Lonchura striata: one gene and its partner. The protein of the gene in region 1 purifies or fractionates together with the protein of each later gene. This does not show direct contact. Links are inferred from orthologs where the notes say so. Each region holds a gene or a part of one and is shown in the gene's direction. Other genes may lie near its edges.

The links. The genes of interacting proteins can lie anywhere in the genome.
Region 2: the proteins of CCT2 (region 1) and GNB1 purify together in Homo sapiens (co-immunoprecipitation; 3 studies listed by BioGRID and IntAct, with this or other methods). This does not show direct contact. The link is inferred for Lonchura striata from reciprocal best matches to the Homo sapiens genes CCT2 and GNB1.

What each region holds. Positions count from the first base shown.
Region 1 is NC_134607.1:44,620,973-44,624,715, forward strand, and holds the start of CCT2 (T-complex protein 1 subunit beta), read left to right. Parts: upstream 1-844; 5' UTR 845-979; coding exon 980-982; intron 983-1,164; exon of another isoform or gene 1,165-1,200; intron 1,201-1,588; coding exon 1,589-1,663; intron 1,664-2,129; coding exon 2,130-2,195; intron 2,196-2,293; coding exon 2,294-2,405; intron 2,406-3,743. UniProt on the Homo sapiens protein: Component of the chaperonin-containing T-complex (TRiC), a molecular chaperone complex that assists the folding of actin, tubulin and other proteins upon ATP hydrolysis.
Region 2 is NC_134626.1:2,642,550-2,646,292, reverse strand, and holds the start of GNB1 (guanine nucleotide-binding protein G(I)/G(S)/G(T) subunit beta-1), read left to right. Parts: upstream 1-1,116; 5' UTR 1,117-1,228; intron 1,229-1,905; exon of another isoform or gene 1,906-1,929; intron 1,930-3,743. UniProt on the Homo sapiens protein: Guanine nucleotide-binding proteins (G proteins) are involved as a modulator or transducer in various transmembrane signaling systems.

The sequences.
Region 1 (3,743 bases):
CAAGCGCACTGGAGGCCACAATCAGTAACTGAAAATGCTTTTGACCTGTGTGAGAGCTGACCTCCAGGAATATCACAGAACCACAGAATCAAAAAGTAGCTTTGAGTTGGAAGGGACCTTAAGAATCATCTAGCTCCACAACACCTTCCACTCGCCCAGGATGCTCAGAGTCCCATCCAACCTGGCCCTGGACACTGCACGGATGGGGCATGCACGCTTTCTCTGGGCAGCCCATTCAGTGCCTCTCAGCCCAGGGTGAGGAGTTCCAGTGCCTGAGCCCAGGATAAGGAGTTCCAGTGCCTCAGCCCAGGGTGAGGAGTTCCACTGCCTCAGCCCAGGGTGAGGAGTTCCAGTGCCTCAGTCCAAGGTGAGGAGTTCCAGTGCCTCAGCCCAGGGTAAGGAGTTCCAGTGCCTCAGCCCAGGGTGAGGAGTTCCAGTGCCTCAGCCCAAGGTGAGGAGTTCCAGTGCCTCTCAGCCCAAGGTGAGGAGTTCCAGTGCCTCAGCCCAAGGTGAGGAGTTCCAGTGCCTCTCAGCCCAAGGTGAGGAGTTCCACTGCCTCAGCCCAGGGTGAGGAGTTCCAGTGCCTCAGCCCGGGGTAAGGAGTTCCAGTGCCTCTCAGCCCGGGGTGAGGAGTTCCAGTGCCTCAGCTCAGGGTGAGGAGTTCCAGTGCCTCAGCCCAAGGTGAGGAGTTCCAGTGCCTCAGCCCGGGGTGAGGAGTTCCAGTGCCTCAGCCCGGGGTGAGGAGTTTCCCCCCGAGCGCGCTCGCAGACGCCAGCACCGCCCCAGGCGCGGCGCGCAGGCGCGGTGGGCGCCGGGCGGGCGCCGGGCGGGCGCCGGGCGGACTGCGGCTCCCAGCAGGCCGCGCGGCCGGAAGCGGCGCCGCCGTGCCGCCATTCCGGAGGAGCGCGTGCGGGCTGCGGCGCGGCGCTGGTTCTCTGCGGAAGGAGGGGCGGGCGGCGGGTCCCGGCGGCACGGCACCATGGTGAGCGGCGGGGCGGTGGCGGTAGCGGCGCCTCGGCCCGGGCCGGGTGCGGCGGGGCCGGGCGGGGCTGCGCTGAGGCGGGCGGGCGCGGGGCCTGGCGGGCGCGCCCCTCGTTGCCCCGCGCTGTGCCGCGGCGGCGGCGCCCGAAGGTTCTGGAGCCGGGGCGGGGCGACTCCGAGAGCCCCGGTACCAGTGTTCGGGATTTGATCCTGCTTCATGTAAGGCCTTGGCTGCTCTGCAAATGTTGGGCCTAAAGGGCGGGTATTGGTTGCCGCTATGATTAATTTGCATTGATACGGGAAAAAAAATTAAAAAAGCGAGTTCAGCTCAGGTATCAAAATGCTAAAGGCTCAGTACGGCCAGTACATAGACTTGCATTGGTTCCTGCTGGTTGTGCGTGCCCTCGGGCTGCAGGCCGGCTGGTTGGGCAGAGCCGAAAGGGATGGGCTGGCAGAGCTCGGTGCGCTGCGCTCTGCGGGCAGCTGCGCTCGGTCCGGGGAAATAATTTTATTTAAAAACCGATTGTTTAAGTTGTTACAGTGAGGGATTTAGAACACATAGTTTTACTGAAGCTAGAACAATATTCTTACATTAACTGTGTTTTAGGCATCAATTTCCCTTGCTCCTGTGAACATTTTCAAGGCAGGTGCAGATGAAGAGAAGGCAGAAACAGCTCGCTTGGTAAGTTTAATTCTCTAAGAAACTGGTAGTACTTGAGGTAATTAAATTTTGTCTTTTCTACTAATAAAAATATTTTCACTATATTATGATATGGAACTTTTATCTCTAACTGGCTTTTCTTCTTGCACGTCTGTGAACAGAAGGGAGGCGGAGTGTTTATACTAAAAATTAGAGAAACTTTTCATTGTCAAAACGAAAGTACCTCTACTGGAGGTCAGAAAACTGGTATTTATTGAGTGGCATTTCTTCTGGGTTTGAGACAGACTTACAGTTTCTGGGGGATTCAAGTATATTTGATCTGATTATCAAATTTTAGCAGTTAAGAATCTTGCCTTAAGTTCAGTTAAGCCTCTGTTGAAAGTGGTGGAAGGGTTGGGTAAAATGTCAAAAGCTGTGTGGTAATGTATAATAATTTTATTAGAATAGAAATAAATTGTTCCCTGAGGTATATTTATTTTCATTTCAGTCATCCTTTGTTGGTGCCATTGCCATTGGTGACCTAGTCAAGAGCACCCTGGGGCCTAAAGGCATGGTAAGACAGTTCCTGGCTCTCAGTAGGCATGCCCATTAATTTAGCTTTAATAGTTACAGTGCCTTTTCAAGTAGTATGCTAAATCTTGCATCTTGTAGGACAAGATTCTTTTAAGTACCGGGAGAGACAGCTCTGTCACAGTTACCAACGATGGTGCAACCATCCTGAAAGCTATTGGAGTTGACAATCCAGCTGCCAAGGTCTTGGTTGGTGAGTGGTGGAATCTGTGGTATTGGTGATTCCAAGATTGTAAAAAATGTCTTTCTGCCCCGTTGCCAAAGAAGAAGCCATAATTCATCTGCTGGTTTCAAGCTTGTTTATTTTTGCTTATCTCTAACATGTTCTGTTGCCCTGCTGCAGGTCTGTCCTGCAGGGGAGCGTGTGGGGCTCTGCCCTCAGTGGGATGTTACAAACATTAAATACCAGAAACTACATGTGCTATATTTACAATAATGTGCCAATATCTGTCACCTACATTGAACAGTGTGTCCCCAGCCTAAACCAATAGAAAAATGCCAGCACTACAATGAAACATGGAGGTCATGAAGAAGGAGAAGAAGGACAAGACACACCCAATTTCCTCCATCTTGTCCCCTTTGAACCCCTAATCTAGAATCCTAAAATTTTACTTTTGCACCCGTGCCACACTGAATTATTACTTACATCAAACACTCAGAATGTTAATGATTACTTACATCAAACACTTACAGGATGAATTACACTTGTAATTCATCCTGTAAGATTGAAAACTTTTCCATGGACAGAGATCAGAGACAGTGTCTCTCGGGGCTCTGTACAGGGGGGGTTCCTGACCCCCTGCCAGGGTCCCAGGGCAGCCAGAGGGAAGCTCTGGATTCCCCCAGGTGAGTTCTTAAAGGCTTGGTATTTCTTAATTTGTAACTCTATAGTGGAGTTTTTATTTGTTCTTAGAAAAATGTTCTTGAAATACTGTGAAAAATTGAATGGAGGGGGAGTAGAAATCTGAAGTAAGAAGGGCAGGGTACTGCAAGAGTTTTAGCATTCTGCAAAAGTAAAATTCTGATGTATGCTGCTCCTCAAAACTGATTTTTTACCTTCTTGTCCCTTAACCCTGCTTTGTCCCAGTAGTCAGAAGGGACAAAAGACAGCTGTGTGACCCTCTTAGTGCAGTGGGAAAATTTGAAACAGAAATCTGTGCAGCAACAGAAGTTCTCTCTGTTTCTTCCAGATTTAAATCTCTGTCACTCAGTGAGCACTGTACTTCTGTACAGTTTACTGTTGTGAGCGACTGTTCTGTGTGCCAGTGGTCCAGTACTGGTGACAAGCAGGAGCCTGAACTATTGGATGTCAGTTTTCCTAATAATTTTGCTGCTTCCCAGTTTATCAGCAGTTCATGCAGGAGACCTGGTTATTATAGTCTCTGATCCTGTATCTATACCTTAGAGCTTCTATCCAGCTGTACTTCCTTTTGATAACCATTATTAGGATGGGGAACAGAGGGGAGCATCCTGACCATCACCAGGCTGAAACTGGTGTCTAGGTTGTAAATGAAGAGGAGGAATTTGAGGG
Region 2 (3,743 bases), on another chromosome or scaffold:
AATCTCACATTTTAGCAAGGTATAAACAAATATTTGGAAAAAAACCCAGATTTCGATCTGTGATAGGAAGAAAGTGATGCAATACTGTATCTCTACTTACTTTTCAATATTAATTAGGGTTTCAGTATGAGTTCTGGGGGGAAATTATTCCATTTAGGTAACATCTCTCCTGCCTGATTTATGTGAGGTCTGCAAGACAGAAATTGCAAATTTAATGCTTCCTTATTATTTTTTTCCTACTTTCTCTTTCATGCAAACCCTTTCAGAGCTATGATGGAGGCTGCGAGGAGACTATGAAAAGAATGCTCTGGAAACTTTGGCTGTGTGATTACCTTTATAAGCAAAGCTGGAAAAAAAAAAAAAAAAACAAAAAAGAAGAAGTTCTAAGCTACAGAATTGCTATTTGTCAAGTTCCTGAGGGAAACAACACAGAACCTCAGATTTGTGAGGGTTGGAAGGGCTCTCTGGAGATCACCCTGGCCAAGGCATGGTCACCTGGGGCAGATGAAATAGGAATAGTGTCCGGGTGGGTTTGGGATGGCTCCAGAAAGGGAGACTCCACGCCCAGCTGCTCCCAGCCACCCTCATGGAAAGAAGCTCTTCCTCATGCTGAGGAGGAACTTCTGGTTTAGTTTACAGCCATTGCTCCTCGCCCTGTGGCTGGGCACTGCTGACGAGTCTGGCACGATGCCCTGACATCCCTTGGAGATATTTTTATTCATTAACGAGATCCCTCCTCAGTCTTCCCTTCCCAGACTAACCAGGCCCAGCTCCCGCAGTCTCCTCACACGATGATATGAAGATATTTATTGCTTGCCAGCCTGTTGTGAGAAGCACTTAAGGCCTGTGGCCTTTCCCGCTCGGCAGCCCGGAGCGCTCCCATTTAACGCGCGGAAGCTCTGCCTCCCCAGGCTTAAACACCATTTGTGGGTTCACTCCCGTGTCTTTTCGTTCCCATCCGGCTCTTTCGGACTCGTTGAGGGCCGGCCGCGATCGCCCGCCCTCGCCCTTTGTTCGCTGAGGGGAGGGAGCGCGCGGGAGCGCGCGGGAGGCGGGAGGCGCGCGGCCGCCGCCAGCGTAAGGGGCCGAAGGGCGTTGCCCGCGCGGGGGCGCGCAGCGCGAGGCGCCCGGGAGCGCGCACCGCCCGCCCTCCCTCCCGGCCGCGCTGGGCGGGTGCCCGGTGGAGGCGGCGGAGCCTCCGGTGAGGCTCGCGGCGGCGGAGCCTTCGGTGAGGGGCGGCGGGCAGCGGCGGGGCTGCGCGGGGTGGGAGCCGAGCCGGGGTTTCCCGGGCGGGCAGCACGGGCGGGGCGGAGGGAGGAGGGGAAGGAGGGAGGTTGGCCGCGCCCAGGCTGCCCGATGGCTGCGGGGAGCTGAGCGGGCTGAGGAGGAGTCGGGACCCAGCGACACCCCCTCCCCCGCGGATCCCTCCTTCCCGCTCGGCTCTGCCGCCTTCCCCGGGACCCGCCGGGGCGCATCGCGGGCGGCTCCCCCGCTCCTCCTCCTCCTCCTCCTCCGCCCCCCTTCCCTCCCCAGGCCGGCGGGACGCGGGCAGGACCGCGGGCGGCGGACGGACCGGCCCGGTTCATGAGCAGCGGCCGGGAGGGCAGGTAACCGTGTGAGGGGCGCGGGGAGGGCGGCGGTCCCTCAGGACGCGTTTCCCGCCCGCCGAGCCCGGCCGGCCCCACCCCGGGGCCATCTTCCCTCGGCTCCCCTCAGCCCCGCTCCTTCCCCTCCCCCGCGCTTCCTCCTCCTGCCGCACTTCTCCTTTCCCTCTCCGTTCCTGCCTCGTCCTCCCCTTCCGCCGCCGCACCGGGGCCCCGGGCCGCCGCCTGCTCATCGCCCCCGTTCTCGGCGACCCTCGGTATGGCGGGGTTGGAAACAGCCCCCCTCCCCCGCGCTTCCCACCTCCTCGGGGCTCCAGCTTCCCCTAAAAAAGAAGTGTGTTTGTAGCTGGAGGAGGAGGGGAAAAAGGTGGGGGTGGGACTGATTCCCTCTCGAAGGCTTCCAGGCGAAAAGGGAGGAGACCTCGGATCTTGCGGGGTTCCATTTTTAATTATAATTACGCTGTAGTGGTCCCTGCTAGACGGTCTTGGGGTCTTGTCTTAAGCCACAAAAGGCGACTTCCCGAGCGATCCAGCCGGCAGAGGGAATATTTGGAGAGAGATTCGAAGGGGAGGAGGAGAAAAAAAAAAAAAAAAAAAAAGCAATGGTGTGGCTGCTGTAATGGTGGAAAACTGATTAAGAGGAGCCGGGGGTGAGACAAACAGGGTAAGGCTGCTTCCAGCACCCCCAGCCAGCCGAGGGCTCGCAGATGGGGCTCATGCTGGGTGTGCTGGGCGAGGGAGGGGTAGGGAAGGTTTTGTTCTCGTTAGAACCGGAACCGAGGATGGATTCAGACCGCATATTTGTTCCCCCATGTATTACGGTGCTGCATATTTTTGTGTGCCCGTAGCAGCGATAACGAAGATCATGGAGGGTGTTTGCTACAATAGAAAGATGGAGTTTTCTCCTTGGAAATGTTGTTTAAAATATTGCTTAAATTCTGAGCTTTTTATCCAAAGGATTTCAGCATTTTTTATTTTTTTTTTTTATCCGTGCAAGGGATATTGAACGTGTAGGGTTTTTAATCCTACAGCTTTGTAGGGAACGAAGATGTGTAAAGCCTTGCATGTAAATATGAAAGAGGTGAGGCGTTTTATTAACAAAAAAATCTTGTCTAGAAGAAAATCAGAATGATGTAGAGGTTGTTGTAAGATGTCAATTTATCATTCCTGAAGATGAACTGAAATTTTAACGAATGTGATATTTCATTATTCTCTAACAAAGTCACGGCTGGGACTCGTTTTAAACCAGGCATCCTTTCTAGGATGTGCAGACTGCCACGTTATTATGTATTGTCTCCACAGGAGGAAATAGGAGGAAAGCACTGTAAATGTAAGGCTTAAGTGATTATTGAAACAGCTTTTGAGAATAGTTGGCTCAACTTGGGGAGGCGATTTAAGACTGAAAAATTAAACGTTTTGCTGCTGTAGGATATCTGCACCTAATCGTGAGACATTTATCCCATATTTTAAGCTGATGTGGACACGAGGATGTGAATCAAGCGAAAATGCTGTCGATATGTGTGAGAATACGAAGATGATGTGTTAATACCTAAATCCGTCCCTAAATGTGGTAGATCAGGGTTTATTTCTCTCCCTTGTGCTTGAGGAGAGGAGAAGGAGAAGGGGTGATAATAGTGTAGTTGTTTTGGTGGCTGCAGATTAGCCAGGGTGTCTGTTTGATTTTCTTTTTGCTGTGAATGAATGGATCTCTCTGTGCCTGGGCCCAGTAGCTGCAACAAGATGGCGTTTGCAGCAAGGCAGCTCTCATTTTTCAACTCCTCCTCACCCCAGCTTTGCCAAACTAGATCTTATTTCGTAATTGTGTTTTAGATTTACTTTCTCATTCTCTTTGCTTTCTTCTGTTCTGGGGTGGGGGTAGGAGGAGCATTTGGAAGATTGCTGTGAGAAATCTGTGGTTTGTTTTTTTTTCTTAATTTTTGTGAGCTCCTCCAGATAGCAACCAGGTGGGAGGAGTAAATAGTTTTATTGAAACGTTCATATAGGCTCTTAACTGAATAAGGGGGTGACACAATTTTCATTTTTACTTTGCAGTGCCTGCTTAACACCACCAAAATGGTCCCTAGTTTTTATTAAGCCTGTTGCTAAAAACCAGTTTTTACACGTAGAGCCCAGGTACAC